4 linked regions of the Drosophila melanogaster genome follow. The protein of the gene in region 3 purifies or fractionates together with the protein of the main gene of each other region. This does not show direct contact. Each region holds a gene or a part of one and is shown on either strand. Other genes may lie near its edges. The genes, in order: CG8036, RhoGDI, Fkbp14 and GstO3.

Evidence for each region.
Region 1: the proteins of Fkbp14 (region 3) and CG8036 purify together in Drosophila melanogaster (affinity purification with mass spectrometry, with the first as the bait; one large-scale study listed by BioGRID). This does not show direct contact.
Region 2: the proteins of Fkbp14 (region 3) and RhoGDI purify together in Drosophila melanogaster (affinity purification with mass spectrometry, with the first as the bait; one large-scale study listed by BioGRID). This does not show direct contact.
Region 4: the proteins of Fkbp14 (region 3) and GstO3 purify together in Drosophila melanogaster (affinity purification with mass spectrometry, with the first as the bait; one large-scale study listed by BioGRID). This does not show direct contact.

What each region holds. Positions count from the first base shown.
Region 1 is NT_033777.3:8,665,232-8,675,593, forward strand, and holds CG8036 (uncharacterized protein), read left to right. Parts: upstream 1-2,636; 5' UTR 2,637-2,805; intron 2,806-2,884; exon of another isoform or gene 2,885-2,977; intron 2,978-3,380; exon of another isoform or gene 3,381-3,474; intron 3,475-3,849; exon of another isoform or gene 3,850-3,943; intron 3,944-4,297; 5' UTR 4,298-4,593; coding exon 4,594-4,697; intron 4,698-5,268; exon of another isoform or gene 5,269-5,674; intron 5,675-6,479; coding exon 6,480-8,078; intron 8,079-8,146; coding exon 8,147-8,324; 3' UTR 8,325-8,471; downstream 8,472-10,362. Other genes in the region: CG8032 (uncharacterized protein), read left to right, coding at 206-611, 667-1,441, 1,504-1,624, 1,683-1,865; mRpL19 (mitochondrial ribosomal protein L19), read left to right, coding at 8,956-9,019, 9,072-9,928; Unc50 RNA binding protein, read right to left, coding at 10,150-10,286, 10,342-10,362.
Region 2 is NT_037436.4:19,927,084-19,935,797, reverse strand, and holds RhoGDI (RhoGDI), read right to left. Parts: upstream 7,056-8,714; 5' UTR 6,890-7,055; intron 4,984-6,889; 5' UTR 4,968-4,983; coding exon 4,784-4,967; intron 4,711-4,783; coding exon 4,601-4,710; intron 4,536-4,600; coding exon 4,421-4,535; intron 4,108-4,420; exon of another isoform or gene 4,061-4,107; coding exon of another isoform or gene 3,956-4,060; exon of another isoform or gene 3,886-3,955; intron 3,817-3,885; coding exon 3,620-3,816; 3' UTR 2,868-3,619; downstream 1-2,867. Other genes in the region: CG46462 (uncharacterized protein), read right to left, coding at 3,956-4,060; CG8004 (uncharacterized protein), read left to right, coding at 7,361-7,444, 7,518-8,243.
Region 3 is NT_033778.4:21,492,544-21,499,603, forward strand, and holds the start of Fkbp14 (FK506-binding protein 14), read right to left. Parts: upstream 4,668-7,060; 5' UTR 4,521-4,667; intron 4,232-4,520; exon of another isoform or gene 4,090-4,231; intron 2,982-4,089; exon of another isoform or gene 2,784-2,981; 5' UTR 2,782-2,783; coding exon 2,588-2,781; intron 1-2,587. Other genes in the region: CG46395 (uncharacterized protein), read left to right, coding at 6,088-6,270; TAF1C-like (TATA box-binding protein-associated factor RNA polymerase I subunit C-like), read right to left, coding at 6,474-7,060.
Region 4 is NT_037436.4:8,515,755-8,521,808, reverse strand, and holds GstO3 (glutathione S transferase O3), read right to left. Parts: upstream 2,925-6,054; 5' UTR 2,856-2,924; coding exon 2,828-2,855; intron 2,298-2,827; coding exon 1,600-2,297; 3' UTR 1,514-1,599; downstream 1-1,513. Other genes in the region: GstO2 (glutathione S transferase O2), read left to right, coding at 1-77, 137-274; se (sepia), read right to left, coding at 375-509, 567-1,135, 1,192-1,219; CG6765 (uncharacterized protein), read right to left, coding at 4,151-4,337, 4,392-4,493, 4,551-4,609, 4,743-5,296, 5,359-6,054.

The sequences.
Region 1 (10,362 bases), on a different chromosome or scaffold from region 3:
GGCTAACGATCACGTAGTCTTAGTTATGGGACTGAAAAATTTATTATTTTTCCAGTTTTCCACATTGTTTCACTTCACATGTACTAATTACGCCCCTAAATTATCTAATATAGGTCAGTTCTTATCTTTTTTATACTAGAAAGTTAAATGTTAAGCTTTGCCTACTTATCTGAGATGTTCCTATTTAAACACTTCTATTTCACAGATAGAACTTGGCGCCAACTGGATACACGGCGTTCTGGGCAATCCCATCTTTGAGCTGGCCGTACAACATGGTCTAGTCAGCGTGGTCAACGTACCGAAACCGCACAAGGTGGTGGCCACCACGGAGGACGGGCACCAGGTGCCTTTTAACATACTTCAGGAGATCTACGAGGCGTACGTCTGCTTTCTGAGGCGGTGCGATGAGTATTTCCTGTGTCAGTACAGCCCGCCGCCGGATATACACAGCGTGGGAGAGCACATTAACTATGAGATCGAAATCTATCTGAGCGGGGTCCAGGATCCCAAGGAAAAACGCCTCAAGCAATCCATATTTAACTGCCTGCTCAAGCGAGAGACCTGCATTACCGGCTGCAACAACATGGACGAGGTGGATCTCCTCGAACTTGGTAAGGCTAAGCTAAAAATAAAGTATATACAATATGAATATATATTTTATTTTAGGCAGCTACACTGAGCTACAAGGAGGCAATATAGTGTTGCCAACTGGTTATAGCTCTATTCTGCGACCGCTGGGTGCTCAGATAGCCAAGCAGTCCATACTGACCAAATGCCCGGTGAAGAAAATCCACTGGAAGCGGAAAAAGACCTTCACTGGGCTGGAGACAGTCGACGAGAACTCGGAGGACGAGCATTCAGACGACTCTGAACGAACGGTGACGGAAGTGCCGACGGGGGAAATTCGTGGCGCCTCCGTGGAGTCCAACACCAGCAGCAATTGTGATTATCCTGCAGGCAACGTGCGCATAGATTGCGAGGACGGTCGAGTGTTCCATGCAGCCCATGTGATATGCACCATACCGCTAGGCGTACTGAAAAACACCCATCGCACTCTCTTCGATCCTGTGCTGCCGCAGTACAAACAGGAGTCCATCGAGAATCTCATGTTCGGCACCGTGGACAAGATCTTCTTGGAGTACGAGCGACCATTCCTCAGTGCCGATATATCAGAGATTATGCTATTGTGGGACGACGATAAGCGGGATATGAACAGCTCCGAGGAGGAGCTGGCCAGCGAAGCGTATCTCAGCAAGAATTGGTTCAAGAAGATATATTCGTTTGCCAAGGTGACGGACACGCTGCTCTTGGGCTGGGTCTCGGGCCGGGAGGCGGAGTACATGGAGAAGCTCGACCATGAGGCAGTGGCTGAAAAGTGTACGGAAATACTTAGGAACTTTCTGCAGGATCCTTACGTGCCCAAGCCAAAGCGATGTGTTTGGTAAGGCAAAGAAACATTATTTGGTTAAGAATGTTGTATATTAAAGAAAAATCTATTTGTAGTACCAGTTGGAAGTCGCAGGACTTCACCGGTGGCGCATACACCTCAATACCGGTGGGCGCAACTCAGGAGGACATCGAGAACCTCGCCCAGCCCCTCTATGCCACGCCCCAAGCCATGAAGGTCAGTTCTACAAGCTTGCTTCCCCGGCAATTGTTCACATTTTAATATATTTCCCCAGCCCGCCATAGTCTTTGCCGGAGAGCACACCCATTCCAGTTTCTACTCTACCGTACACGGCGCCTATTTGAGCGGACGGACGGCAGCGCAGCATTTGCTGGCGAGCGATGAGCCAGACGAAATCATCATGGAGTCGGACGGCAGTGATCTGAGCGCCTGGATACAGGGCATTGCCCTGGACTGAGTCTAAGCTAATCAACGACCACTCATCGATTTTGTATTATAATTTATTAACGTTATTTTGTACACTCTTTAAACGCTTTTTAGCTAGTGATATTTAATTTGTTCGATTGTAATTTATTTTGCTAGCGTCGTAAAACGATTTAACTCATTTTTGTACATCCCTTGTGAGCATTTGTTTTATTTTGTTGATGCAATTATTTTGTAATTTATTTGGAACCCGCTTGTACATTACTATAAATAAAAGTTACGAATTAGCTGAGCTGATCAATGTGCTGCCAACTCGAACAGACCGTGCACCCGCAGCAGCTTTCACTGTACTTGGACGAAAAAGTGTGCACAAAGACATAATGTTGTTTAGACCTAATTACCGATTAGCAACCATAAGTGTATGAATACAAATATATTGCCTATTTTTATAAATTCGTATTTAACGTAGAAAAGGTTGCACCAAAAGGTTGACACTAAGACGATCGAACAATGAGTGCAACTAATGTATATTTGAAAGTAACTATTGTTAACGTTAACTATTTTGCTAACTAAATTATGCATTGGTTGACTCTTTAAGGCGGAAAAGGAAAAGTTGGTATTCATAAGTCCGTTCTAACACTTGGATCTGCATATTTATTTGTATTTGTGACAAAAATATCGACTTGTACGCATAAATAAATAAATTAAATAAATAAATTATTGAATGAAAATGTATAATTTTAAATAGTAAAACACAAGTCGAAGAAAGTTTTGATTTTTTAACGATGGGGAGAGATCTGTATTATAAAAATCAAGTTGTGCTTTTGGTTTTAGGCCAACAAAAGTCTATAATTCAAAACATATGTAGATATCCTAAATTATTTGAAAGTCTTTCGCATTGCACTCGTAAATTTTTTGTGGATACATTTACTCGAACTTAGCTAAGGTGTGGTAAAAAAGCTAATAAGGATAAGGTAGGTGGAAATGAAAAGGATTGACTAAGCTGAATTCAAGAATGCATTAAAAATGGCTTGTAAAAAATTCGACAAAAAATCCTTCGAGCCGGATTTGAACCAGCGACCTATGGATTTCTATTGCATGTTTTCCAACTACAGTCCACCGCTCTACCAACTGAGCTATCGAAGGGGGCGTGCTGGGGAGTAGGTTAAACAACGGGTATCCGATTCATCGCGACTCTTCAATAAACTTTTGTTGGTAATCGGTTTAATTAATGCGTATTTTAGCTTTTAATGGATTGAGGTCACGGACAGCATATGCCATGTCGTTCAAATACCTTTTCTTTTGATTGTTGCTAAGCTAAAATTAAATAATATATTGATGTACGCGTAAAGTAAGACATGTTCATTTTCACGTGTTTTTAAAATTGATATTCTTCAAATTATTATTCATTTTATATAACATTGTGTTTATAAAATGTCTTTTGCATCTACATGTTTATAATTGCATACTATTTTATATATTTTTTATGGGGTACGGGTGCTACTATAAAAACAAAAACGAATTGGATATTACAAAAAATTACAAAAAATCCTTCGAGCCGGATTTGAACCAGCGACCTATGGATTTCTATTGCATAATTTTCCAACTACAGTCCACCGCTCTACCAACTGAGCTATCGAAGGTTGAGTTCAAACTTGGCCGTTGTTCGTTTTATGCATGCGCACAAACGAAATGCACCGTATTTGGTTATTTATTTTTGATTTTTACTTATTTAGGTCAAACAAAATTGATCAACTTTCTCTATTCAGTCCATTGCAGTAAGCCTATAGTTTCCAAGCCTAATAGCCTAGGCGCTTTTCACAAACTATATCAATTTAGTTACGGTTTATTTCTTCCAAATAAAATCCTTCTTATATTATTTAGTTTAAACAGCTCAGTTATATTCTGAATGTCTGTAGATGAATTAAATTGATTTAAATTGTGCACTACAAAATATATAAAAAAAAAGGTATGTGCACTACAAAATATATAAAAAAAAGGTATTTATATCTTTTCGATCCTTCGAGCCGGATTTGAACCAGCGACCTATGGATTTCTATTGCATGTTTTTCCAACTACAGTCCACCGCTCTACCAACTGAGCTATCGAAGGTTAAATTCGCTTGCGGCTAATTCACCTTTTGTTCAGGAGCGAGGTGGGGAAAGTGACAAAAAGAGAGGGCACTTCTCTTAAACACCGCTGCTCTTTAATACTCGCGGCCAGAAAAATAGGACCTTAAATTCTTGTAAACTTATATTAAATACTAAAGCATTGTAAATCTTAATGAGAAAATATTCAGGTACAACTGTTCATGGCTTAATTTTAGACCAAAATTGTGCATGAATTTAGAAAGGCAGCAATGCACTATTTGAAACTAACTAGTTACCCACCCACAGCTGTGCACCGATAAAGGGGTGGTGTGCGAGCAAAGATGCCATATTTATACATATATCCATCTCGTTCCAGCGCCGACGATAGACGATACCGATACTTTGCGAGTCCGCTCCCAAGATTGAGCCCCCACAGCGTAAAAGCGACCGAAGTGCCGGCGACGAGAGCAGTTCGTTCCCAGAAGCCGGCAGCAGTGGTCCGTTGATAACTCCGACTCGAGCTACTTATCCACCACGTCGATACTCTTGTCTGTCTATTGCAAACATAGAGGAGTCACCCTTTGGCTAACGAATCCGAAACTCCCGAGTTTTGTTGTGCAACATATCAAAAACCGCATTTGTTCGGATCCAATTTACATTCGCATTTCAAAGATGTCGTACCACAAGCCCGAAGCTAAGACCGTCCAGGATCTGAAAGATCTGGCCCAGAAACTGCGAATTCACTCTATCAACGCCACCCAGGCCTCCAAATCGGGGTAAGTTTATCAATAACTGAAAGTCCATAGGCATATTAAAGTGTGCGTATTTAGATTTGTTTGTGTAGATGTGAATTTTAAAAGTTGTGCACCTTGCACTTGTTGCTTCAAAGGTGACCCCCTCCATTTCCAGGGTGGGTGCGAAAAAGTTTTTGAGGGGGCTGCTAAATACATACATACATATGTATGTGTTTTGAAACATTACAAAAGAAAATAAAACAAAAATAGTTACGCATATACATAGTTATGCATCTATGTTTGTATGAATGTGAGAAGTAAAATATGGGAAGACCGGTTCCTTTAGTGACCCCTCCTGGGATTCAGTTGCCAACCCACGTGTTGTCCAGTAGCTTTAGTGAATTTGCGAATTTGTTGCCCTGCCTGCGTGCTCAGTGATAAGCCGCGTTCACCTACCTTAAATTGTGAGCTAATATTTTTTGACCTTAGACAACCTTGAAACGTTAGGTTTTTCTTACTGCCTTTTAATTTCTTTTGCTTTTGTTTTGTGCGTGGCGTTCAAAACGCCGAAAGCACATACATATGTACATGGGGTAAAAACAAACATACTTACATATCAAACAGAGGCATTTAATATACGTATGTACATATGTACATACAAGTGTTGGAAAGCACAGCTTGTGACGGGAGTGGAATTGGAAAGAGAGGGATGAGAATAGTAATGGAATGATCCCCTACACTTGAGATTTACGACTGTATGGCTTTTAATGTAATTATATCTCGGATAGACGCGATCAAATTATTACTGCAACAGTAAATAAAAAAGTTACTATGCTGATAAGGAAAACACTTTTATCGCCTCCATTAGTTTTTCCATTCTGTTTCGTTTTTTTTTTTTTTTGTGACGGTTCAAGATAAGATCTGCTCTGTTTGCTCTAAATGTGACCTCTGCCGACGAGATAAGCCCGGTTTGGTTACTCATTGACCACGATATGACCGATTAGAGGTGACCAGCTCAAGTGTGTTCCCCGCATGATAATCGAAAATCACTGAAAACTGATAAAAAAAAAAAAAGCGCGCCGGGTCACTGCTAACACTCCGTATCACCTTCAATAGTTCTTGATATGGCTGCAGGAAACGGGGACGCACTTCGGAACTATCTAGAAGCACGTGCGTTCACAAAGATCGCCATGCAACACAATCGTGGAAGCCAAGAATTTGGTTTTTAAGGCTATTATTTAGGTTTTTTGGTGATCAGAAAAGTTCAAGGTCCCAGAAACCGGTGAGGAATTGCGATGGACTCACGTCGCGACAAACACACATATCACACCATATAACGCCAATAAATACATATGCATGTACTCGTTATAGTTTATTTATATGTCTGGGGTAAGACGAGCCCCCCATTTTGTCTGGGGTTGCGTGTTTTCTTTGCGGTTGGAGTTGTGCCAGATCTGCGATTCAAAGCAATTTTTTTTGGAACACGATCGCATGGGAACATTGAATTCCAAGAATGGATCTTATCTTATTTATATGTACATTGCAATTGGATACTCGAGAAATCTTCATTTGAAATATGAACAGAGGGGGGGGGGGGGGTTTAAATAAAAGCTTCAATAGACAAATGGATTTCTTTTATTAAACAACGTTTTTAACAAGTATGCACAGTGTTCAGTTCCACTTTTCCTTTGTTGATCGGCCTTCACTTACCCACCGTGAGGTCGACTTCTATAATTCATTAGGCACTTACCTTAACCTAGAACTACATGCAAACGAAATGCCTTGTCACAATCTAATATTTTGCCTACTTTTCCCTCTTTATAGCCATCCCACATCATGTGCCTCGATCGCTGAGATCATGTCCGTGCTGTTCTTCCAGCAGCTGCGCCTGAACCTGAAGCACCCACGCGATCCCTCCAGCGATCGCTTCATCCTGTCCAAAGGACACGCTGCTCCCATTCTGTATGCCGCCTGGGCTGAGGCTGGTCTCTTCCCCATCGCGGATCTGAACAACCTGCGCAAGATCGACAGCGATCTGGAGGGTCACCCGACGCCTCGTCTGAACTTCATCGATGTGGGCACTGGATCCCTGGGACAGGGTGTCGCCGTCGGCGCTGGCATGGCCTATGTGGGCAAGAACTTCGACAAGGCCGACTACCGCACCTACGTGGTGGTGGGTGATGGTGAGTCCGCCGAGGGTTCCATCTGGGAGTCGCTGCACTTTGCCGGCCACTATAAACTGGACAACCTTTGCGTGATCTTTGATGTGAACCGCTTGGGCCAGTCGGAGGCCACCTCCCTGCAGCATAAGCTGGATGTTTACCGTGATCGTCTGGAGGCCTTCGGCTTTAATGCCGTCGTTGTCGATGGTCATGATGTCGAGGAATTGAGCAAGGCTTTCCATTGTGCTGCAATCACCAAGAACAAGCCCACCGCCATCATTGCAAAGACGTTCAAGGGCAGGGACTTCCCCAACATCGAGGATTTGGACAACTGGCACGGCAAGCCACTGGGCGACAAGGCCGCCGAAGTGGTGAAGCATCTGGAGGGACTGATTGTCAACAAGAACGTCAAGCTGACCCCTAAGCCGGTGCCCAAGACTGGTGCTGCTCCCGACGTGGACATCAACAACATTAAGTTGAGCTCGCCACCCGCCTACAAGCTGGGTGATTCCATTGCCACCCGTTTGGCCTATGGAACAGCTCTGGCCAAGATTGGCCAGAACAACCTGCGTGTTGTTGCCCTAGACGGAGACACCAAGAACTCAACTTTCTCCGACAAGCTGAAGAACCTCGACCCGCAGCGCTACATTGAGTGCTTCATCGCTGAGCAGAATCTTGTGGGAGTGGCCGTTGGAGCCGCCTGCCGTCGCCGCACTGTGGCCTTTGTGTCCACCTTTGCCACCTTCTTCACCCGTGCCTTCGATCAGATCCGTATGGGCGCCATCTCGCAGACGAACGTTAACTTTGTGGGCTCCCACTGCGGCTGCAGTATCGGTGAGGATGGTCCTTCGCAGATGGGTCTGGAGGACATTGCCATGTTCCGCACCATTCCGGGCAGCACCATCTTCTATCCCTCCGATGCAGTGAGCACGGAGCGTGCCGTCGAACTGGCCGCCAACACCAAGGGTGTCTGCTTCATCCGTACGTCCCGTCCCAACACCTGTGTGATCTACGACAACGAGGAACCCTTCACCATTGGCCGCGGCAAGGTGGTGCGCCAAAAGAGCTCCGACGAGGTGCTTCTGATCGGAGCTGGAATCACTTTGTACGAGTGCCTGGCTGCCGCCGATCAGCTGGAGAAGAACTGCATCACCGTCCGTGTGATCGATCCGTTCACCGTGAAGCCATTGGACGCCGAGCTGATCATCGAGCACGGCAAGCAGTGCGGAGGACGCGTAGTCGTCGTGGAGGATCACTACCAGTAAGTGTTCTTTGTAGTCTTTTTATTTGCCTCCTTTGCTAACTTGAAATTTACTTAATTTCTTATAGGCAAGGAGGCCTGGGTGAAGCTGTGCTGAGTGCCCTGGCTGGCGAGCGCAACTTCGTTGTCAAGCACTTGTACGTGCCCACCGTGCCACGTTCGGGTCCTCCGTCGGTACTCATCGATATGTTCGGCATCTCCGCACGTCACGTCGTCAACGCCGTTAACGAGATCCTCAAGGATTAGGGGACCAGTCGTGATCTGGCTACATTCATTTACCGCCTACAGGAATTCCCCCAGTTACTACTTACTTCCAATATTACCATTCCCTCTAAGATTGTTAATTGCTTCATTGATTTGAACCTTACATCATGGAAATAAAATATCTTTAATAAAAATAGTTAAGCCGAACTATATACCTTATTTACATATTATATTACTTATTTACTATATTACTTATTACATGTTAAGCATGCCTTTAAAATGGCTGGACGATTTCATTGCGTTTGCCTTTGGTTTGCTTTAGACTTGCTTTGGTTTGTTTTTAGTTTGCTGTGGTTTTGCTTTGGTTTATCTCTGGATTTGCTATGCGCTTGATGTTGATTTGACATAGATACTGAAATAAAGATAAGATGAGAAAATGAATAAAATTATAAATTTTTTAAATTTAAGCATACTGCATACTTTTTTAATTTACAAATTTTTAATATTTTTCTAAAAAAAATCGGAGCTTAAAACTAACAAGTTGGCAGTACCCTTCCAATTATAAAGGGTTATCGATAACTCTGCTGTAGCTATCGGTGCTGCCAGCTGATTATAGTGCGGCATGATTATCTAAACATCAATTTGTTTCAGCCGATCCCGAAAACTATTCAAAATGAACTTAAGCACAAGAGTTATGCTGAATAGGTTGACACAGCAGTGTGTCTACAAGCGGATTGGTAAGGAGAGACGTTTTATCTTGTGCCACACATTCAGGAAACGTATTTTCAGTGACCTTCTCCACCAAAACTGCGGAACATGTAATTGAAAATCAGGAGGAACAGAAGAAAGAGGCTCCGCCAACCACGCCGACTTCACCGGTGAACCGGAAGACAATCATTCCGGCCAATTATCGGTTTGTTTACCCAGAATTCCTGCCCGATCCGAAGGTGGAGTGGCGCAACCTCGTGCGCGAGAAGCTGGAGCGACTGGACATGCTGGATCGCCGCAAACAGATCGACCTGCCCGAGTTCTACGTTGGATCTGTGCTTGCGGTGACAAGTTCGGATCCCCATGCCGCTGGCAAAACCAGTCGATTTGTGGGTATCTGTATCAATAGGGATCGCTGTGGACTGCGCGCCCGTTTCATTCTTCGCAACGTGATTGATCACCAGGGAATGGAGGTGGTCTACGAGCTGTATGATCCTACCATCCTAAAGATCGAGGTGTTGCGGCTAGAGAAGCGACTGGATGACAGTCTTTTCTACCTGCGGGACGCTCTTCCGGAGTACAGTACTTTTGATGAGAACATGGAGGCCGAGCCGCTCGAGGAGGGTGCTCCGGTGCCGGTGAACGACATTAAGGTGGTGCTCCGTCCGCGTCCATGGCTGGAGCGCTGGGAACGACAGAATCTGCGTGGTGTGGCCAACATCGATGAGTATCTAAAAGACAAGCATCGCCTGTCGGCGGCCAAGGTGCAGAAACCATGGGAGAAGTACGACATGATGAAGGACTACCGCAGCTCGATTCCCGAGGAGGAGCAGACGGAGATCTTCGCCGAGGTGCACACGGAACTGCACGCCCTGGAGCTGCAGCGAAAACGCAACAAGCGCAAGCGCACTTTCATTAAGCCCAAGCAGCTGGCGTAATTGCATTTGTTGTTCATTTTTTAGAATAAAAATATCGAAAAAATGTTGTTTTATAGTTTTCCACGATTTTACTTTATAAAGATGGTTTTATCATCGAAAAAATGACTGAGGCTGCAATAATATGGTTTGGATAACGCTAAATTAATTAGTTTATTAGTCATAATTGTAGTATAGTGGCTTAGCAACTAAACGCAGAATAATTTACAACGCACATTGCATTACTAATATACGCGATACTTGTAGAAATTGACAAAGGATATCGTTGCGTTCCAACCAATAATTGTGACGACCAGAAACAGTAGAAAGATGATGGGCAGGGCGATGAGAATGATGCGGGTGTTTTTCAGATGGGGAATGCCTGCAGGAGGAAAGCTTTTTAATTCGAGAACTTGATGATGCATTTAATAACTTACAATTGTATCCCAGAAATGTGA
Region 2 (8,714 bases), on a different chromosome or scaffold from region 3:
TTAAGAAAAGGCCGCCAATTTTCATTCATTTCACTCCATTGCAGGGTAGATTTATTAAGGGATTTGTTGAATGCCATGCTCAAAAATAATATATTGCTATATTTAACATTTGGAGCAACAAACTTGGATGGCCAATATCAAAAATCAATGCCAAAATGTAAATGAGCTAACCACCGCAAGCCCGTTCGAATAAATATATTCAGAAATCATGCAATTTCCTGGCCAACTTTGCAGCGAATCTCCATCAGAAAAAAAGCATCAACTAAAAAAAAAACAACAAATTCAATATATACGCAAATTATTTTCGCTGTCCGGTGGCGAAAAACGCAGAGCTTTGGAAAAAAATATATGCCAATTGTGGTGGGGGGTTTGAGTTTGGTTTTATGTCCTGTCGGCCACGCACAAATCTGATGACTAACTCCAGAGTTTTCTGACGTGTTCGACACTCCCCTTTAAACCAACTTGCCAACTTGCGTGTGCTCACTTAAAGCCACGAAAAGTATTAAAGCCATAGAAACTTTTTTATTACACTTGCCTGGCGAGGGGGAGGAGCATGTGACGTAATAAAAGTAAGAAGTAGGTTTTTTAAACAAAATTTAAATGAAATATAATTAGTGCGGTTTCAAGCTAACAAAAACACAACACTTAATTAAACCACAATTTTCAGAACACCTTATTCAACCACTAATTTGGGACTGATAACTAACAGGTTTATATAGACATAAGAAGAAAACGTAATAATAAAAACAATAGCCGCCCCCCTTGGTGCTTTCTATATATTTTCCACAGACAGCCCACTGCGAGTGTGCAATAAAATTCATCATACGCTACGTTGGCCCCTTTTGGCTGGGAACAGGATGAAAGTTTCGCACGTTGCTCCGTGTGCTGACCCGCATATGAAATTAGAGGCCAGCAGAAACCGAAAAGTTGCCAAATCTTTGTTGGATTTAATTATGCTTAAATGGGCTTAGCAAAAACTTGCCATAGAAGCAAAAAGGTATTCAATAAAGGTGCATGCCCATACATGAGATCTAAAATGAAATTAATTGAATTTCGAACAAAGGAAGTTTAATTTTGCCACATTTGACTACTATATACATATGTATATGCCATATTTTGTGGACAAATGCTGTGTTGTCCGTTTTGCCGTTTGCTGTGTGAAAATTATTAAATCTTGTTAACCAGGAGAAACAGGATAAGAATATGTAAAACAGTTAAATATATATTTTTTAAAATCATGCCAATGGGCAAATTGCATAAATGCAAACACATAAATCCCATTAGCGGCTATAAAAGCTGTGCATACATATAGCCATTTGTAGAGATTAAATATGCATTTTTACAGCGATGCCTGTGCGGCTTGACATCAGCTGCATTTCATGGCTTTTCCAGTGGAACAGATGCCAATAATCCTAGTGCTAGTGATGGGGATGAATTCGAAAAAAAATACAAAATTTATTTATTTAAAAAAATGTTAAAAAATATAAAAGGTTTTACACTTGAATAAACCAAATGAAGTTTCTTTCTAAATATCATAAGTATTATTACATAAGACATAATGAATAATGAATATAGTAATATTCAACAATTTGATTTAAGCGAGCATTCATTTCTCTCAGTGTAAAATAACAACAAGGTACCGTTAGCAGCACTGCCTACCTACACGGGGACAAAATGGCCACCATTCGCATTTCCGCTTGCGTGTGCTGTGTGAGCACTTTGCCTGTTGCGCTTTCTGGCCTGCTCTTTGATTGCATTTCATTTCTACTTTATTATCCGCATTCTGGACGGCTCCTGTTTTTTCCATTGGCTCAGCAGCTTTGCTGCAAATTTCATTGAGCCCCAGCCCGGATGCAATGGACCATAAAGGTGCAGCGGCGGGACAATTGGCAGCATTGGGCCAAAAGGCCACATTGCCACACAATGGGGAGTGCGGAATGTTGGAATGTCGGATTGAACAATGCGATTGAAGGCTGAAATTCGACGGGCCGTCTGTCAATCAAAACATCCTCGACGGACAGAGATAGACGTTCCTGTTTGATGCAAAAATATTGGTATTTCAAAGGTAATGTTAAGAGTAGTCGAGCTGAACGGCCATACCAAAAGACATATATCTGCTAAACCATTTGAGTGAATTAAAAGATATAGTATATATAATTTTTTGCTATGAGGAAATATATGAAAATGGCGAAACAAGCAAGACTTCTCTTATGTATACATGTAAGTTTTTGTTAGTTGCTTACCTGTAATTACTTCTCACGTAATGAAAACAGTGTGTACTTATTTTTCTGATTGTTTTGTTCCACATCCTGGAAAATCGCACCCTTAAAGGACCCCAAAAAACATACGAATGCCCCAGGCCATTTACCGAAAACACAAATGATTTGTTTTTCTTAAATTACACCATTTTTCTGCTGGCAACTATAGCAATTTCCGAAAAAGTAACTTGCTTATTCATGCAGGTTTTCGCGACTCTGAAGACAAATGTGCGTTGGAATATAAAATGCGGTTATTATTATTTTCTGTTCTGAAGCGGCGATTGTTGGGCAACATGCTGCTAATGTCTGGCGCAACAAGAGGCTGGCCACTTGTTGCTGGTTGCGAATGTAAACAGAGAAGTGTGTTTCACAAATTCTCTCTTTTGTACACCTTGAAAAATATTTGGTGACCGTTCACAGGGCGGATGAGTAATACTCGCTCTGCTGGCCACAATTTATGACGTTTGCCCCTTGGCAATGTAAGCTGATAAGCATTATAAAGTGTGAAGTCAACTTATCTTTGGCTACGGAGAAATCTGTGCACACACTGCCACTATAATTTATGGGATACCCATATCATGGAAAAAGAATTCGCTCACTTAGGCATTTATTTTAAAATATGTATCCTTTATTCTTTATTGCTCTTCGGTTGCATTCAATCAGCTTTCGCATATATGGTATGTTGTACACAAAAAATACACAGAGATATATAGTTAGAATAATGTGGATTTAAGTAACTCCATGTTGCACAAACTTCAAATGCATAATAAAGCATCAGCTTTAGTTGCATTTAACAGTTCGTGTTGCACGATTTTAATCGGTTTCTTTTTAGTTTTGAGGCGACTTGTTCTTACAATAAACTATTCCATTCTTCAATTTGAAATACACAGCGAAATGCAAACAACTTTCTTAAAGTTAATTACTCAATTGTTAATCTGTTTGAAAATGTATGTTAAACATAGGCAATGGCATTAAGAACCAAACGACTGACTGTCTGACTGACTGGTTGGCTGACTGACTGACTGACTGGCCTAGTGACTTGACTTGGTTTTGACTTGACTCTCATTGAGGAGGACTTAGGCGAAAAATGCTCTTCATCTGCACACATTCCAATTGCAAATAGGGTATCAAAAATACTTATCATGGCTTTACATTACACTTTAGTTACAAAAATATTTAAAATTTAATACCGTTAACAAAAATACTTGACGATCAATTACACTTTTGGAAAAATTCGCTTACACTTTTGGAACAAAACTAAACTCATTTACAAGGCATGTTTGAGGGAAAACAAAAAGCGTATGATGTATGTTGTAAGTTGTGTGTCGTGTGTGTTTGTTGTGTGCTGTTCGGTGTGCCAATTAGGCCCAGTCCTTTTTGATCTCAAAGGTCCAGTCCCACTCCAGGTGTATGTGCTTGTCGTCATCCGTGAAGACCGAACTGACCGAGTAGGTGCCGCGGGAGAATGTGCCTGAAGGTGCCTCCTCGGCGGGCGTCAAATAGAACTGAATCTCCTTCTTCGGCGGATAGGAGCCAACCATATGCTTCATCTTGTCAACTATGGAGTAATGCGAAAACAGTCAGTTTAGTAAGGATACACATTTGCGGATGGGCTGCACCAGCTTACCCACAACTTAAAAAATTATACATTCCGAAATTAGGGTTTGGCATTGGAGATAATGGAATACAAGTTATTCTCAACACATGACTAAAGTTAGTATGGCAATTGTGAAAAAAAGGATATAGGCAGCACTGCAAAATCCCACCAGTATGGTTGTGCCATTGAACCAGCTTTTACCCATTGCTAGAAACAAAACTCGACTAGCCCGCACAAAAGTCAATCAAAAACTGAGGTGTAATACTAACGATTTCGCGTCAGCACGGAAAATTGAAGACCTAGAAGTGCTCGCATAGTGTAACGTATGGAAAATAACTAAAAACAAGTATCTTTTGACCCGGTTTTAATTTAATTTTATTCTTACAATACTAGGGCACTAGGTCAGTAAATAAATAAATCAATTAATAGAAAATTAGGGTAGGACAAAAAAGAAATATAATTGCTTTGCCCTAAGTAAAGACATATAATGTTGATAGAATTGAGAGTGTAAATCTATTCTATATTCTGCCAATTAAAAATACAAATGTCATGTTTAAATACTCACCATTAACACCCAAGCGAGAAGTCTTTTGAACATACTTAAGGCCATGGACTATTTCACGCTGCACAATAAAATCAATGCGCACCTTGTACTGAACACCTTCTTTGATCACAAAAAGCTGTCGCAATAGGGTTTTGATTAACAAAAGTAGTCGAATGGATGATGATGGTTAATGATATTTACCTGCTTTTTCAGCTGACTAAGGTCACCGGTAAGATCCAATTCCATGTCGTCGCGTCCTTCGACAACGAGGGCCAGTTTCTTTACAATAACTTTTCGGGGATCATTGGGTTCTGGGTAAAAATGTTATTGCTTTAGTATATTCTGCACCCTCCACTTTCAGAGGCCAAGTTAACCGCCCCTTACCAACAATAATTTTCTCGGTCTGGGCGGCACCCAGGAGCGCCTCCTTGTAGCGCCGCAAGCTCTCATCCTCCTGATCGGCGGCCATTATTTCCTCGATGGTCTTCTCCGGCGGCGCCTGGTAGTTGGCATCGTGGACATCGTCGTCGTGGTGCTCGGGATGGTGCTTCGTCTCTGTTTCGGCCATGATTGCTAACCTAGAACTGTCCAAAGGCAATTGTTTGTTTATCAATCAATTACATTTAAATATTGCTTCGGATTTTGCTTAGTATGCGTCGGTTTCTCTGGGTGAAGCTTGTGGGTCATAGGCATATTTTTAGTAGTGTGAGTAACATTTTGACGATAATGATGTTGTTTTATACACATATGTATATGCCTCCATTTTAATGGCATGTGCGCCACCATATCTGCTACATCGTATCGGAGTGTATGAAAGTATTCCTCATTCAAAAAATGTAGGAAGAGTGTTTTTTCTTCTGAAAATTGTCGCCCTAAGGAGAGTTGAGCTCATAACTTAACAATGCAGGGAAGAAATTCGAAAAAAAAACCTGCCATCTAAATATATAGTTGAGTAGTTAGTACATTTGTTTCTACAAATTACAATGTTAAATATTGAAATTCAAATAACAACGATCGCAAACATATTCCATATACTTCGCTACTGATTACGTTATCATTCGCTGGCCATAAAGCGGGTTTATTTACTTTTTTGGCAACACGAGTGCCTCCGTTGCGAACAAATGTAGCCACTTCATAAGCCCGTTCAATAATATTGATTAAATTTCAATTATTAACGCATTGATGAACTGACGTGTTCTCTGTCTAGGGGGCGGGGCAGAGAGGGGCGCTCGACCTGCAGCTGGTCCGCTCGCAAAGTAAAAAAAAAGGTTCAACCAAATACGGAGCGGCAGTTAGATAAGGCAGGCGAACTCGACGGAGGGAGAGAGAGCGGATATCGGCATTGAATAATATTGACCAGAACTGGGAACTGGCGACAAAAAGCCAAACCCACCGCCCCCCGGAAAATGGCTTTATTGTTATCTTGCTTTGTTTTCCACTATCTAAATACACGTCGCCAGCTCTCTGTCCATTTTCAACGAATGTTGTTGGGCCAATAATAATTCTCGATTCTCCAGATTTGGCTTTATATATATGTACATACATATGCAGTGTACCCGGGCAAAAAAAATACATGAAATTGAATTGTTATTACTTGACATCGAGTTGTTGTTGAGGTAATAAAATTGTGTCTATACAAAACGATTTTGCAGGCCCATGTGTACATACAGTAGTAATAATGATGTATTTCTCAATTTTATACAAAACATATTTTGAAATTCTCAAAGCTAATAAATATTTATCTATCTATCTATCTGTTTTTTACTTGTAAATGTAAATATTATTGGTGCTTAAAAATCAATAGTTTGAATCTTAGTATCGGTTTTTAGATCTCATCGTAATATTTCCAAATTAGGCATATGAAAAGCACTCACAATTTCTCTCCGTGCTTGTGTGGGAATGGCAAAAAATAATAAACAAAAAATTTTCGGACTAACAACGCAAGTTTGGGCCAATAAATACAATCGCAACAATTAAGGATGGGTGAGAAAAGGTAATTTCAAGAACAATCTGACCGAACTGAAAATTTGAATTCCAAACAAATGTGCCAGCGTCGAAGGAAGTGCAAGCGAGAGGGCTTGCCAGAGAGAGAGAGAGAGAGAGAGAGAGAGAGGACCCCCCGCCAAAGACAAAGTGTGGGGATAATTCAGGGAAAAGTACGAACCATGCCACTTTTTTTTCTTCTCTTTTTTTGATAAAGAAATGTGCACGAAGAATGTTAAAACCCCAGACGAATGAATCACACACACCAGCTCACACACACACACACTCACACTGAGGCCGGCACATGAATCGTCACTGATTTTCAAGTAGAATTTTTGGGAGTGGTTCTTGGCCTGCAGTCACCCAACTACATACATTTGCTATCAATGCCAGCTTGTATTAAATTAATATAATAATATTATAAATATTTTTTTTATGTAAAATGCATTGGAAGGCACCGCACTCACACACACACACAGTTGCAAGTTGGCAACGACGCGCACTCACCTTTTAATATGCGAAATTAATCAAATAGTACGATCTCTGAAAATTAATCACTGAAAAGTAACTGTATGTTATATTTTTAACAACTTTTGATAACTAACTTTTAAACAAAGCAAATAATATAAAATAAGAATTACAAGTGTGAACGTATGCTTTGGTGGACAGAATACCAAAACGCGAGATGGACTTGAAGAAGTCATCCGTTCACACTGCTGTCCAAAAATACTTGCTTTTCGAAAAAGTTTTTAGTTTTGAAACAGCTTCCCCTAAATCTATTTTATACTTTGTAAGTATGGGTTTAAAAAGAAATTATTAATTAGTTTAACGAATCTTGCTGAAATGCAATTTCTAATAAGAATCGCTGTTTGGTCATTGTCTGCAACAGTCTGGCAACGCCGACAAACAGCTGCTTGTTACTTCATCGGCGATTTCGGTGTGCAAGTTGAAAAACACAATTTACTCCGTTAATTTACAATGACATCCCAGTACCTGAGCCAGCTAATAACGGCCGACAAATTGTCCGCCGAGCCCTGGCCCGAAGACGCCACCCTCTACCAGGTAAGGTCCTGGTTTATAGGTCCAGAATCTTCACTAACATTAACCTTTCATTAATGTGCATTAAAAAAAACAGCCGTATGAAGCGGAACAGATCCTACTGCCGGAAAACGCCAGTTGCCTTGCTGTGAAGGCTTACCTGAAGATGTGCAACCTCCCCTTTTTGATTCGGTCCTGTGCCAACGCGGAGCACATGTCGCCGGGCGGCAGGATGACCAAGTTGCCCTTCATCCGCGCAGGAGCATTCATCTTTGCCGAATTCGAGCCGATCGTGAACTTTGTGGAGCAGAAGGAACTGGCCATTGGCAGCTGGCAGGACGAGGACGAGAAGGCCGACATGCGCACCTATGTGTCGCTGGTGGAGAACATCTTCACCATGGCTGAGCTGTACATTAGCTTCAAGAACGAACGCGTCTACAAAGAGGTCACAGCGCCCAGGAACGGAGTCGTTTTTCCCTGGCCCCTCAATCACATGCAGAACTATGGAAAGCGGCGGAACGCGCTGCGTCTGTTGAAGGTCTATCAGTGGGACGACCTGGACATCGATAGCGTCATTGACAAGGTGGCCAAGTGCTGTGAGACGCTCGAATACAAGCTGAAAGAGTCGCCGGAAACGCCATTCTTCTACGGCGATCAGCCCTGCGAACTGGACGCCATCGCCTTCGGCCACCTCTTCAGCATTCTGACCACCACGCTGCCGAACATGGCGCTGGCCCAAACGGTGCAGAAGTTCCAGCACTTGGTCGAGTTCTGTCGCTTCGTCGATGAGAAGTACTTTCAGACGAGGTGCCTACCAAATTAGTTATACGTAGTCGTTGCCTTAAATGCTTATCAATTAAGTTGCTCTTGTCCTTTCTTTTTAACCGCTTATATATGCAATTCTAAATGCCCTTAAAACAAATCGTCGCCGTAAGTCACAATTATTTTGCTACTAGCATTTAAAAAAAAAAGTTGTTCTAGTGATTTTGCTGCCATTAATGTCCAAAAATCCATGTGAATATCATTTGCACAAGTGACTCAATCTGCAAGTTTGTTTAAATGGAATTCTAAAATACTTCTAACGATCTTTACTTCATTTATTTTGCAGCAAATAACTTTTCTGCTAATAAAATTGTGTAAGTATTTGCTATAATACATCAAATAAATTGTTTTCTTAGCAAACCAAAAAAAAAAATAGTCTTGATTTTTGAACATTGCTGCCTTTTCCTTTTCATACTTTTGAAGAAATTGAACTCTCGTTTATGTAAAGACCTTAAATACACATATAGTTTTA
Region 3 (7,060 bases):
ACTAAATATGTTTATGAAGAGCTCTAACTTAAAGCTCCTAAAATTTCCTTTACACTATCTCTCCATTTGTTTCAGCGAAACTTTAAGCGAAAACATCACCAAGTTTGTTGCTGCAACTCAAGTAACAAATTAATTTCCCCGGAAAAGTGACACAGCGCACATGAAAATCTTGTGATGGGGGGCATACTAGTATACATATATCATAGCAGGTGAAAGGGAGCAGTGTAGTCATGTTACGCGTCAGGCTGATTAGAATATAGCGACGAAAGGCTGCATAATTTATGCGGCCAAAAGAAGGTCTGCGGGTCAAAAGTGGAGCTCAACTTGTTGCCACAAAAACGGGAGGCGCCGCGTCGCGAAATTCTAATGAAGATGTGGAGTGCGGACCAAAGTCATTGACAAACTGTGGCTGCACGTGACCCGGGTATGGCTATGACAGGTAGACATGATGGACTCCTCCGCCAGTTGGATCCCTAACCAAGGGACAATGGAGATAAAAGGCGGCAGGCACGTGACAGGACTCCAGCTCTGGTCCTGGTCCTCATTATTGAATTAGTTACGAGTATAAAATGCAAAGGGATGAGGGCAGTTGGGGGTATATTTGTAATTGTCCGAAATATAGTAGAGTTTCTTTTATGGCCAACCAAGTAGGTTGTAATCCATTTTAATATCAATTAAGCACGTATAGTCGTATATTCGTTTTCCGTTTCCCTATGCTTGTGTGCTTAGGACAGTTTTTCATTTTGATTGGCATTTCAATAAGAAATTCCATCGACAAACCCGTCAAAAGCAGAACAAAATCTTCGTACTTATCTCTCTCTCAAGGAGCATCGCATCTTCGTTTTAAACCCATTTTTTCAGGTGCTCTGCCGGCAAAAGCTTAATTATAGCCAAGTGAAGCTGGCTTTCAGCCAGCTAATTTCCGCTGCAAGGCGGAGACTGTTTGGCCAAAAGCCGAAGCCGAAAATGGCAGAAGGAGCTGTGTTCGCAGCTTGAGGCTGAAAAGCAAGAAGTGGCTGAAAAGGATTTCTCGCACAAGGCGAACAGAAGATGGCGAATGAGGAGGACGCCTGTCGACATCCTTGACTGCACTTGACTGGCACAAAGTGCCTTGTTTGTTAGCCAACTTCGAGGGCATTTAAGCCGCAGCGCAACAGGTGGCAGGCCAGAGAGAAAAACGGCAAAGACGGGGACGCACTCTGATTGAGTTAGTTAGTTGGCCAACTCCGCCATTCCTGCCTCACAGAGACTTTGCCACGCCAAATTTAACAGCAATTGCGAAACTTTTAAGCCCCGAAAGAGACGAATTGCAACTTCCACATAATTTGCAACCAAAATTTGTCTACCAAAACTCAAGGTAAGTGAAAGGACACAACATGTCCAATGAGATGGATGGGAAAATGAAATGTTTTCCCTTTTTAGCATATGACAAAACGGGTTAAGCCGGGGCAATTTGAAATACTTGGGGTCAGTCAGACGTTTATAAAATCGTTTCCCCTGCGAGAAACACAATTTTCTGGTCGTAAAATTAAATCAAAATTTGATAACTGAGAGAGAGAGTGGTGGAGTAATGCCCTCACACTCAACGTATATTTTATTTATATGCAATCAACGGACAATATATCAGTTTAGTTAATCTAGTTGAGGTCGCTTATCGACAAGTTTTTGCCCCAGCTGATATTTATAAAACACTGATAATGAGTTTTACCGCTTGCCAAACGGTTACACAAAGATTTTTTGTTTGCCTGGTGGCAAACAACCCACTTTGGGGTGTTAATTAGCCGCACATGTGAAATAATTTGGTTATCCTTTAAATTTAATTGGTTTTTTGTATGGCTATCTGGGCTGGGAGCTCAAGTTTCGCTGTGGCTTTTATTTACAGGATTTATTACAAGAAAGTCAAAGGTTGAATATGAGAAAGAATATTTGAGATAAGAAAATAAGTAGCGCCTTATCATTTTCTTTAATTGAAACTACTGCTTAAGAGCTAACTATAGTTTGAAAACAAATTGTTTATGGGTAATATTTTTAAATGGTTTTTAAGAATCTTATTTGTACCGGAAAACGATTTCTTTGCTTAATGAAGCCAAAAATTGAGGGCCGCGTCACTATAAACGCCCATAACCCACAGAAAAATGAAACAAAAAGCGGGAAAATGGGTTTGAGTTTGAGTTTGGGTTGCAGGAAGAAGGGGGGCATTCAGGCATGGAAAATGCACCAGCAGCACAAGCAAAAAACAACAACAACAGCGTCAGCGACAATGCAACAATGAGATCGCTTATCAGTTGGCGTCTAATTTACGGCAATGAGCCGCCGCGACGACAGACTGACTATGCAGCACCAGCAGCTTTAATCCCATACGGAAAACACATGTATCTGCGAGTATGTTAATCTGCATCTCCAATGGATGCGTGTGTGTGGAGATTACGGACAGCATCGGCTTTAAAAATATTTCATCCTGAACTCTCTGACATTCTGCCGAAGTTTTTGGGGCAATGTGAAATAATCACTTTAGCATGGGATTTAGCTTAGTTCATTGATAACAAAGTGTGCCTATTTTAGTTTTGTACACTTTAAGATCACTCACCTCGAGTCGAATTTCTTGCCATCGGCCTGCAGAGTTCCAGTGTAGTGCATGGTGAGGGAATCGCCGTTCTTGGACTTTTGTTCGCACACCTCCGGCGTGCTGATCACCTCCACTTTCAGATCCTGAGCCCGGACCAGGCTGTTGCTGATGGCCACCAGCAGAAGGCACGAGATAACGAGATTGGATTTCGACATGGCTGCAAGATAAATGGGCAAACTTGATTACCACAAAACGTAAGAGACTTTCAAAAAAAGGGGAACGTGTTTATGCACTCGACTACAAGGAGTATAGTAAACCTTATAAAGAGTTTAAGATTTGCTAATCCTTAAAATTAACTGAGTTCGAACTACAGACGATAAGATCCACTAACTCGAAACTAAACCGAAGCACCAATGTCTTGCTCGGATTGATGTTCATCACTTTTATACACACAGATTCATCATCACTATCATCTACTCGCCATCATCTTCGTTTTAATCGCGTATTAGCGTTGCACAAGCGTTAAATGATGAATTTAAGCCAATTACCCGGAGAGGTGTAACAGTTGTTTGCTCAACAGTGTAAAGTTGAAATTGAAATCGTATGGATGGCGAGGGGTATTCGCAGCGATTGCGAATGGGATGCGCGAACAGCAAAAATTAGTCATTATGCAAATGTGCAATTCATTTTCGAGTGGGGAACCGAATTCGACCAACCAACCAGCTTTGACCATCTCGACCAGCTGGAGGGGATTATGCAAGCCAAGACCCAAAGCCAAGCGAAATTATTGCGCGTACGCGGTGGCGTATGCGTAATGACCATCGTAGTCATTTCCAATGGGATATGTTGGTGGGTGTTTCTGGTTAAATGAAAGTTTTGAAAGCGCCTAGGTCACCCAAATATAAAAAAAAAGAAGCGAAAAAAATTCGAATAGCCGTAAAATAAAAAAACTAATAAGGCAAACAAAAAATAAAATATGGTGGGTCTTTATATAGTCGGAAAACTTTCACTAATGGAAAGGCAATGGTCAAGCCTCAATTACGTGAAATCGGCATTAACATCTCTTGATCTTCCTCTTCAACTGCTCTCTTTCGCTTCTGCTTCTTTTTCCTTATACAGTGAAATCTCAGAGACATGAACACACATATGCCTTACTTTTTTGCTTAAGCTTGAAAATGATTAATTACACTAATAAGTTCATATGCTATGATATGCAATTGTTACAGTTAAGACCAAGCTGAAGCCAGAAAATCCACAGATTTAGGGACTAGAAATACTTCAAATACTATAAATAGATAAGACGAGATGGCCTCCTGTGGCTAATAATCCTAAAATCACATTTTCAAATATATTTCAAAATCTTTTTTTTCAGAAGCCGCTTCACTGTACTGAGCGTCCACTTTTTGGCCTTAAAACCTGTTGGGCGATCCAGCTTCTTCGTTTACACACGTATCTTTTTGTTTCAGCTTTTTTTTTGTGTGTCTTTTATGAAAGGTTCAGTGAACTGGCGGTACGAAGTTTACCGTAAGCGATCCAATTTACAGACCGGCGCTAAATGTTTCGGAAAATCTTTTCCTAAGCGACACGTCAGGAGTTTTCCTCTTATTTCGAATCAGAAATGCTAATTGCTGACCCGAGCCGATCTTTAGCAACAAAAGCAAGAGCAAATGACCGGCGATATTTTTTTATTTTTATTTTCATGGACTTGTAGCGATAAGCTCTCTTTCTCCTCCTCCATCATTCGGTTTTCTTGGGGCGTATGTGTGTGTATATATATTTATTTGTGTATGCATGTGTGATGGCGTGGACTGAATATGAATGGAAGAGACACGACAGCAATGGCAAAGTACACGCTTTCTTTCGATTTCTCGATTTTCATTTCTTAATGAGCACATTTCCAAGATGTTTACGCTAAGCCAAGCACACGATTTACGATCTGATATCTGTAATATACCTTTGGTCTTCCACAGACGGATATCACTCGATTCCGGCGAAGGGGCGGGGGCGGATGCGGCGGGCGAACAACAGAAAACACGCGAGCAAACGGCGGATGTGAAGTGCAAACACGTCCGATTCGATCGAAGTGCGGGCGAGAAATGCTGGAACCGAAGCCGCCGACGTTGTTTTACTAACCGCTACTTCTACACTCAGAAACATTTTTGTGGCACTTTGCAAGTTAGACCAGATTATTTTGTAGTTTAGTTTAAAATCTTATTTATATATATTGCATTCCTCCAAGTTTTTCATAAGATTATAGTTTTTTTTGTATTTCAATGTTTTTTTCATTATATTCCCTATCTTTTTTTTGGGTGCACCCCTATATAAAAAGAGTGGAAATCTTCAGAGAGACCCGGAAAGTGTGAGCGGGAGGAGGCGGGGGATCGTGATCCACCACCATCCACACGTGTAAGAGTACGAGAGAGAGTGAAAGATCGTGTTTTTGTAGAGCCAAAAGAGATTCACATACTGTGGGAACGCGATCCACAATACGGGGGGCAGAATAAGAGAGAGCACTTGTCCACGTAATCAAGCAGAAACTTGTTCAGGAGCGGATCAGGCGGACTTAGGTTAAGACACAATCAAAGGTGTTCCTTATCCCAAATAAATTAGTTAATATGTAAGATTAATTTTTTAAAATTTAACTTTAAATTTATGATTAATCAGAACTTACAGGAACAATGTAATACCGAAATGTATTCCAAAAAGTTATTCATTTTTTATTAAGCTAATAATCGTTTTGAAAAATGTAACAAAAACGAAAAATATATGGAACACGAAGGACACACAACCTATTCAAGCAATTGCTCAAGTTTAACTAAAAGGAGTTTCCAAAGAATATGCCGTAGTCTACATGTTGCTGGCATCAAAGTTTAAGCAACATTATGCCTCGCCTACTTTTTCTAGTGCGCAGGCGCCTCTTTTATTTTATTTGTGGGTGGAGCCTGATAAAGAGTTAATTTAATGATTGGCGAATTAAATTCGGCAAAATTATGTGACATTTTCTTTTGTTTTCATACTCTAATTTAATTTATTACAGTTTATTTTTAAACCGTGCTTGATAATTTTGTACACTGGTAGATTAATACGATACGATATAATGAAAACGATTAATATTAAGTGTGCACATATGTTGTCAAAATCAATTTAAAAATTTTTTAATTCCCAATAAATTTTTGGAGCTGAGCTTCAGCATTGTATCTGTGAATATGCCAATGTTCCCGTCAATAGCATTCAATAGTTCGCTGCATTTAGTTCAAGATAATCTTTTCCAACTAAAAGCTTTGGATGCTCAGCTCAACCGAGCTTAGCTTAAACTAAACTAAGCATATATTCTATCTATGGCCACTCCTATGGAATTGTCACCCTTGGCTCGTTTACGCCCCACTGAGCGCCGACGAGCGATAGATAGATCGAATCAATCAATTAAATGCAAACTGCCCAAATTAATTGAAAATCAGTCGAAATCTGAGGCACTCTCTAAACGGTCGTGTGGCGTGTTGGAAAAAAAAGGGCGAAATATAATGCTGCACGGCGATCAAGATAAGCCCAAAATGGCAAAACGATCTGTGGGATACGCCCTCAAACGCAGGAATGATCGTTTTGTGGTCGAGCCCATCGAGGGAATCGTGAATCCAGCCTACGAACCCGATCTTGGTGGAGATACATCCTCAACCAGTGACATCAATCGAAAATGGCAAGTATAACAAGCAATAAAGTTTTCGGGATGGGCTAATGTGAAGTGTGTGTTGTGTTATTCAAATTATTGCAATCGAATAAAAAATAAAAAACATTTAATATTGTTGGCAGAAATCTAAATTCTAAATCTACTTACTTCTATTTAATATACTTTATAATCTGCTATTTATTTTTGTTAAATTTAAATTAAGGTTAACAACTCTAACTTAAGCTAGAAACCCTTTACGTGTTTAACCTTGGGCCTCTTAGCTGGCGGGGCACAGGGATAGTCCTCGATGATAGTATTCTGGCCGGGCAGCAAGATAGAATACTCGCGGCCAAATTCAACAGGCGATTCCTTTTTGGGACTCAAAAGGCGCTCTCCGATGTCCTGATCGGAATTAAGGGCTGGAATGACTGAATAGTTCGCTGTAGTGGCGCCATATAGCTTTGGTAGACTTGTACCGGGAACCATGTCGGGATTTCCCTCGGTCACCTCGTCCTCAGTGGGTACCACTGTCTGACTGGGCAATTGTTCCAACCAATTGGCCATGCGTTGTTCAGGTTCCAGCTCCTTCCCCTTTATACGCTCATCGAACATTTCTCTTGTTACGTCTCGTGTGGTGTCGTACTCCTCCATATCCCACACGTCCAGCAAACGGGTCGACATCATGTCCGTGTAGTGGGACAGCTTGTAAGCGGATTTCTGCCAGGGACCGCGACTGATGCTCTTCTGCTTTTTAACATTTCTCTTACTGGCAGCTTTCCTTTTGGGTTGCCGTTTTGGTTTCACCTTGGTTTTTTTCTTAGGCGTTTTCT
Region 4 (6,054 bases), on a different chromosome or scaffold from region 3:
GGTTCGAACGTTTTCCCAGCATGAAGATCAATACGGAGCAAAAGTATGAGCTGGATACAAAACGATTTGAGAAGCTGGTATGTTTAAGTAATCCAACATAAGATGATGCATGTATCTCATCAAAAATCCATTACAGCTCAAGTGGCGCGATTTGATGACCCAGGATGAGGTTGTGCAGAAGACAGCTTTGGATGTCCAGTTGCATGCTGAGTTCCAGAAATCGAAGACCCTTGGAAATCCCCAGTACGACATTGCCTTCAAGGGTACACCATAGAACGACAACTGGTTTAGACAAGATCAAATCTTTGGAACCGGTTATGGACTGCATTTATGTTTTATTCATTCCATGCGAAAAATTCAATAAACCAAGTGCATCAGGCATCCTTGACCAGCAGATTGTAATTGGGTCGACCCAGGCTCCGTGTACGCAGGAACTCCGCCTGAACCTCGGCCTCCATGTAGAAGGCCATCACAGCCGGATCTCGTTTCATGCGTTCCAGCCAAAGGGTCTGAAAAATGGTATACTAATGTACTTCATCACTCCTGGGATACACGGACCTGCTCACCAGCTGGGGGAAGCGACTCTGATCGTAGTTATAATCCTCTCCACGCTGCAACTTAAGGAGCTCGAGGCGCTCACACCAGGGCCAAATCATATAGTCCAGAATGCCCGTCTGCTCGCCACCAAAGAATTCCGTACCACGTCGAGCCAGCTCCCTTTCGTAGATGTCCAGGCCGCTCCAGAAGGGCTCCAGATCACCGCCATCGGATGCCTTGAAGAAGGCACCTAACACCGCTCTAAATCGCTCGATTAGTAACTTGTCCTGCACTTTCTTCAGCGGATCACGTGGATAGAGTGGTCGCAATGGATACTGCTCGTCCAGATATTCACAAATCAGTAGCGACTCTGTGAGCACAGGTGGTCCAGGTTCTCGCACGATTTCTAGAGCCGGCACCTTGCCCTGTGGATTCTTCTCCAGCAGCCACTCCGGCTTGTCTGTGAGATTAATGTAGATGCTGTGATACGGGATCTGCTTGGCGTCCAGGACCAGATGCACCCGTTGGGCAAATGGGCAGAAGCGCATCGAGTACAGGCGAAGGATACCATCTTCGGGAACATCCGGCATGGGTGAGCCTAGTGGGCGCATTTATTATCAATTATGATTATCCTGGTTTCCTGGCTCTACCCACCTTTTGCCAAATGCCTGCCGTTACTCATGATGTGCGTGCTCGGGTCCAGAGATGCAAGTGGTGATAGCGATTGTCATTCGAGTGATTTATAAAGTGCAGCTCACTGCCCTTCGCCGGTTGGCTTCGCTTACGCGGCTGAACTTGGTGGCTTGCGGCTGACACACATACCAAGCCATGTGGATACAGTGAAGCCCCCTTGCAACCTGCATATTGCTCCAAAATATTTGTTTAAAACAAAACTTTTTAAGAACTAAGTTTTTCGAACCACGTTCTGTGAATCTGGAACGGAATTCTTGCCTTTCTAGCCTTAATTCATTTCTTTGTCACATAAAATATTTTAGTTTTTATTGTTTTTAGAACATTATTAAATCTCCTTTGTTATATAATAGTTTCATTTTCAGTACCGATCTAAGCCAGCAGATCGTAGTTTGCATTGCCGGCCTTGCGGGTGCGCCAGAACTCGTTGTGCTGCTCGGGAGTGGCATAGAAGGACTGCACCACCGAGTCCGCCTTCAGGAGGGCAATCCACTTGGTGATCTTCGGGAAACGACTCTCGTTGAAGTTGTACTCCTTCTGCAACTTCAACTCGATTACAGAGAGGCGTTCGAACCAGGGCCAGATCATGTAGTCCACGAATCCCGGCTTGTTGCCGCCAAAATATGGGGTGCCCCGCTTGGTCAACTCCTCCTCAAAGATATCAAGTGCCGTCCAGTAATCCTCCAGACCGGTGCCCTGCACAAGGATGTTTATGAAGGCACTGGTGATGCTGCTGAAACGTTCCAGCAGAATCTTGTCCTGTGCCCGCTTCAATGGGTCCTTGGGCAGCAACGGATTCTCCGGGTACTTATCGTCCAGATACTCGGCAATAATCAGCGACTCGATGAGCGAGGGCTCACCCTTCTCCGCCACCAGCTGCAGGGCAGGCACCTTAAGCAACGGACTCACTTCCACCAGCCACTCTGGTTTCTCGGTGAGATTGATGTAGACACTGTGATAGGGCACATTCTTGGCGTTCAGGACGAGATGAGCCCGCTGAGCGTAGGGACAGAACCTCATGGAGTACAGGCGAAGGACTCCATCGTCAGGGAGTACAGGCTTGGGGGAACCTAAAGATAGAATTTATTTACCAGTTAAATTTAGGTTATACAAATAAATCAATAACTTCATGAGTCACTTGTGGAACCCTAAAATCCACCCCTGTATTATTATTTGTTTAGCAAGTCATTGCACTTAAGTTAATGTTGATAGGGCCCAGTCGTGATAAAGCTCAAATTTTGTAGCTACGTTATCTTTTAGAGTGTAAATATTATGGGTTATCTGATATCGGGGTGAAAGCTATAGCTAAAAATGTAAGTAAATTTTACAAATCAAATAATTAATTTAATGCATTACCTACAATTGTAAAAGAATAAAGATCGTATTGAAATTTACCAAATAATATACCTTTCTAACTTTTTAACCAAAAAATCCCAGTTATTCATGCCAATATTCTTTAACATTATGAAATATAAAAATCGTTATTCGATAATTACGCTGAATGTTGGAGAACTTGTTTTATAAATAATACTATAAACACTCTAATGACATGGGCGTTTCTCTTGGCGGCGGCGACAACTGGTTTTGCTTGCTCTCTTACCTTTGGCCAAATGTTTACCAGAACTCATTTTGTTTAATTGCAGAACTGAACAAATTCGCTTAACTGTTGAAATGTCGACGGTGAAATGCGAACTGAGTTTTCTCTTCGACGGCGCTCTGTTTATATAAAGTTTTTTGTTTGTGTTTTAACGCGAATAAGAATAATCGAGCTTTTTGCGACGTGACTCTTAGTTTTCGTTAGCTTTTAAAAACGATTTCTCATCGCAGACGTTTATTTCGATTTAAAACGCTTTACTACATTTGCGATTTGTTTTGTGGGAAGAGACAATCATTTCCTCCGCATTATACATAGTACATCTACTTAGTTTGTTAATAATCACGCCTGTTTGTAAATATAGATATATTTTGTTTTTACATGGTTTGGGGGGAGCTTTATTTTTGTTTTTAATTGAACCTCGGAACTACTACGTACATTTAGAGTTTTAAGTTTATGAACTTTTCGTAAAAAGTTTCGATCGGCGGACTTTCGAAATCAAACTTAATCTATGTACAAAAAAGTTCTCGAAATTTCCGTTCATGCCTTACAAAAAATACAAAAAAGTATTAATACATATACAACAGAGTTGCTGACATCATTGAGTCGCGATAAATAGTTGTTATCAGTAATTGCATTCGAAAAACCAAATTGGAAAGTAATAAATAATGACAACTACACTTGCTGCTGGAATTAATTGTTTATCAAAATGTAAAAAGATCCTTTCGCTGCTTTTGGTCCTACAAATGGGATTTCTTTTGATGCATCCTTTTGAAAACTCAAGTGGATGATTAATTTTTAGTTTTTAATTCATTTTAAAAATGTCCGCAAATGGTAAACATTAAAATTTAATGATTAAACTGTATCGTTTTTTTTCCCGAATCAATTGCGCGTTGTTGTTACGGTAAATACATGGGATAAATAGCTAAAACTAAGTAAATACGTACACTTAAAAAAATTCTACACACTGGAGTTAAATGTTGCTTTGCTTTCGTTTCTGAATTTCTTGCTTTGTCTTGTTTTGCATCGTTGCCTGACGATTTCCATTCTAAGTTTCGTTTATAGTTTCGTTAATTTTTTTTTGTTCGCAATTTGTATTTTGTTTGTTGCTCTATAAAATATGCAAACTGGTTGCATTTTGATCACGGTTCTTGCTGTTGCATATAAACATCCATCTCACTTTTGATTATTGGAACGACTTGAGATTTTTGAAAATGAATGAAGAATATGGCTGTTTTCAAATTTATCCATGGGCATCCGGTTTCGAATCCTTCAGCTTCATTCGCCAATGGTCCAATGGTTCTTTGAAGTTGATCCCTATGGCTGGCCTTAGCCATTCGGTGAGGTGGATGCTCCAGGAGATGTGGTTGTGGCCACTGCATCGCTGTTGCTCATCTTGTGCAGCATGAGGGAGTGCGTCGATCTGGTGGCGGTGGAGCTGGGATACTTTGGCTGCATTTGGCTGTTGGACACTGTGGAAGAGCTGCTGGTCGCCGGCGGTGGCGGTGGCTGCTGGCTGCAAGTGAACAGAGTTCATCAGTGTGCTTTTGCTAGCCCTTAGGACACACACCCCTTCTGCTCGCCATCCTTCTTGCTGTTGAACATGGCCAACTCGATCTCCGTGTGCTGGCTGTTCATGTGGCGCACCCACTCCGCCGGCGTATCAAAGGATCTGCACATGGGAAAGGGAGTTAGTATATATTTTGCTTCTATAACTCCAAACACTTACGTGGAACACAAATCGCAGAGCAGAGTTACGTGATCGTGATCCATATTGTTCTCCTGTTGCTGAAAAACACAATATATAATCTGGTTTTAATACATCCAATAGATATTGGTAACCGATCATCACTACGAGTTAAAATCATACTTCAGTAGATTTGGATTTATTAAAGGGATGAGTTGCTGTCCAAGTACTCACCGAAACGCGACGTCGTTTCTTTGGCACATAGGTTTTAACAGATCGCAGGGCGAGGTTGCTGGAGGCGGATGTGGTGCTCCCGCTGGCACTGGATGGCAGGAGATTCCTCTCCGTGCCGCCCGTGGGATCGCCGGCATGTGTGCCCAGGTGACGGACCAGCATTTTGGTGTCCTCGAAGGACTTCTGACAGATCTCGCAGACCAGCAGCTGCTTGAAGTTGTTATAGTCGCGCAGCGTGTGCTCCTCGCTCTCCTCGGAGGGTGTTCCGCGATCCCTATTCACCTCCAGCTTCACGGCGGACATCTTGAAGTCGAGTGGCTGCTTGGGCGAAGCCAATGGCAACTCCTCCAGATTGTTGTTGTTGGACGCACTGGAGGCGTTTGGTGGGTTGTTGCTCCAGTCGGTCGGCTCCTGTTTGATGGTGAGGAAGTTGTGCGGATGTCGAAGGGTCGGCGGATGTGATGGTGGTGCCTGCTGTGGTGGTGGCGGAGGTGTGGCTGCCAGGCGAGAGGATACCACGTGCTCAAAGTGTGGTGCTTCATAGTAGTCCCGAGCTGAGGGGAATAAAACATGGGATTAGTCATCATTAGCAGCTGTGCTGAGTACTCTTACTCACATCTTTCGCATGCGCTCTCCCTCCTCAGACGTCGCTCGAAGACCAGGCCCACCTCGTTCCGCTCACGAAGTGCCTGCTCCTCGTACTCTGTCCGCCGCAGCGTGGTCTCCGCTTGGTCAGCACCTGGTCCGGCGGTCAGGGGACAACTGCTGCAGCCCACCTCCGTGCAAATGGAAATGGGCTGCGATGGCGGGGCACCTGAACCTCCAACTGATCCTCCTCCTCCTCCTACTGTTGTCGTTGTGGTGGTTGGTGGTGGTGGGTGAGACTGCGACTCCAACTGACCGGGTGCCGCGAAACAGCATTTGTCCTCCGGATCGATGGCCACCTCCTTGTTGACGGAAATGCCCAACTTGCTGCTGCTCGCGACGGTTAGTAGTCCTGTGTGGGCGGCCAATTTGGGTGACTTAATGATCACAGGCGAGTCCTTGGGCATCACGGAGGCACCAAGTCCACGAAACTGCTGCTGGGGATTATGGTGATTCAGGTGGCTGTGGTGTGACGACAGGTGGTGGTGATCCAAAGCGAAACGTGTCGATCCACCCGGCTTGCTGGCATATAGATCTCCCTGAAGTTGCGCCGACATGGTTGATTGTGGCGGCGGCGGAGGGGGCGGCAAAGCGGTTCGAGTGCCATTCGACATGTACATGGTGCTAGCCTCTCGCGGATGCAGATGCCCGGCCAGTGAATGGGGAT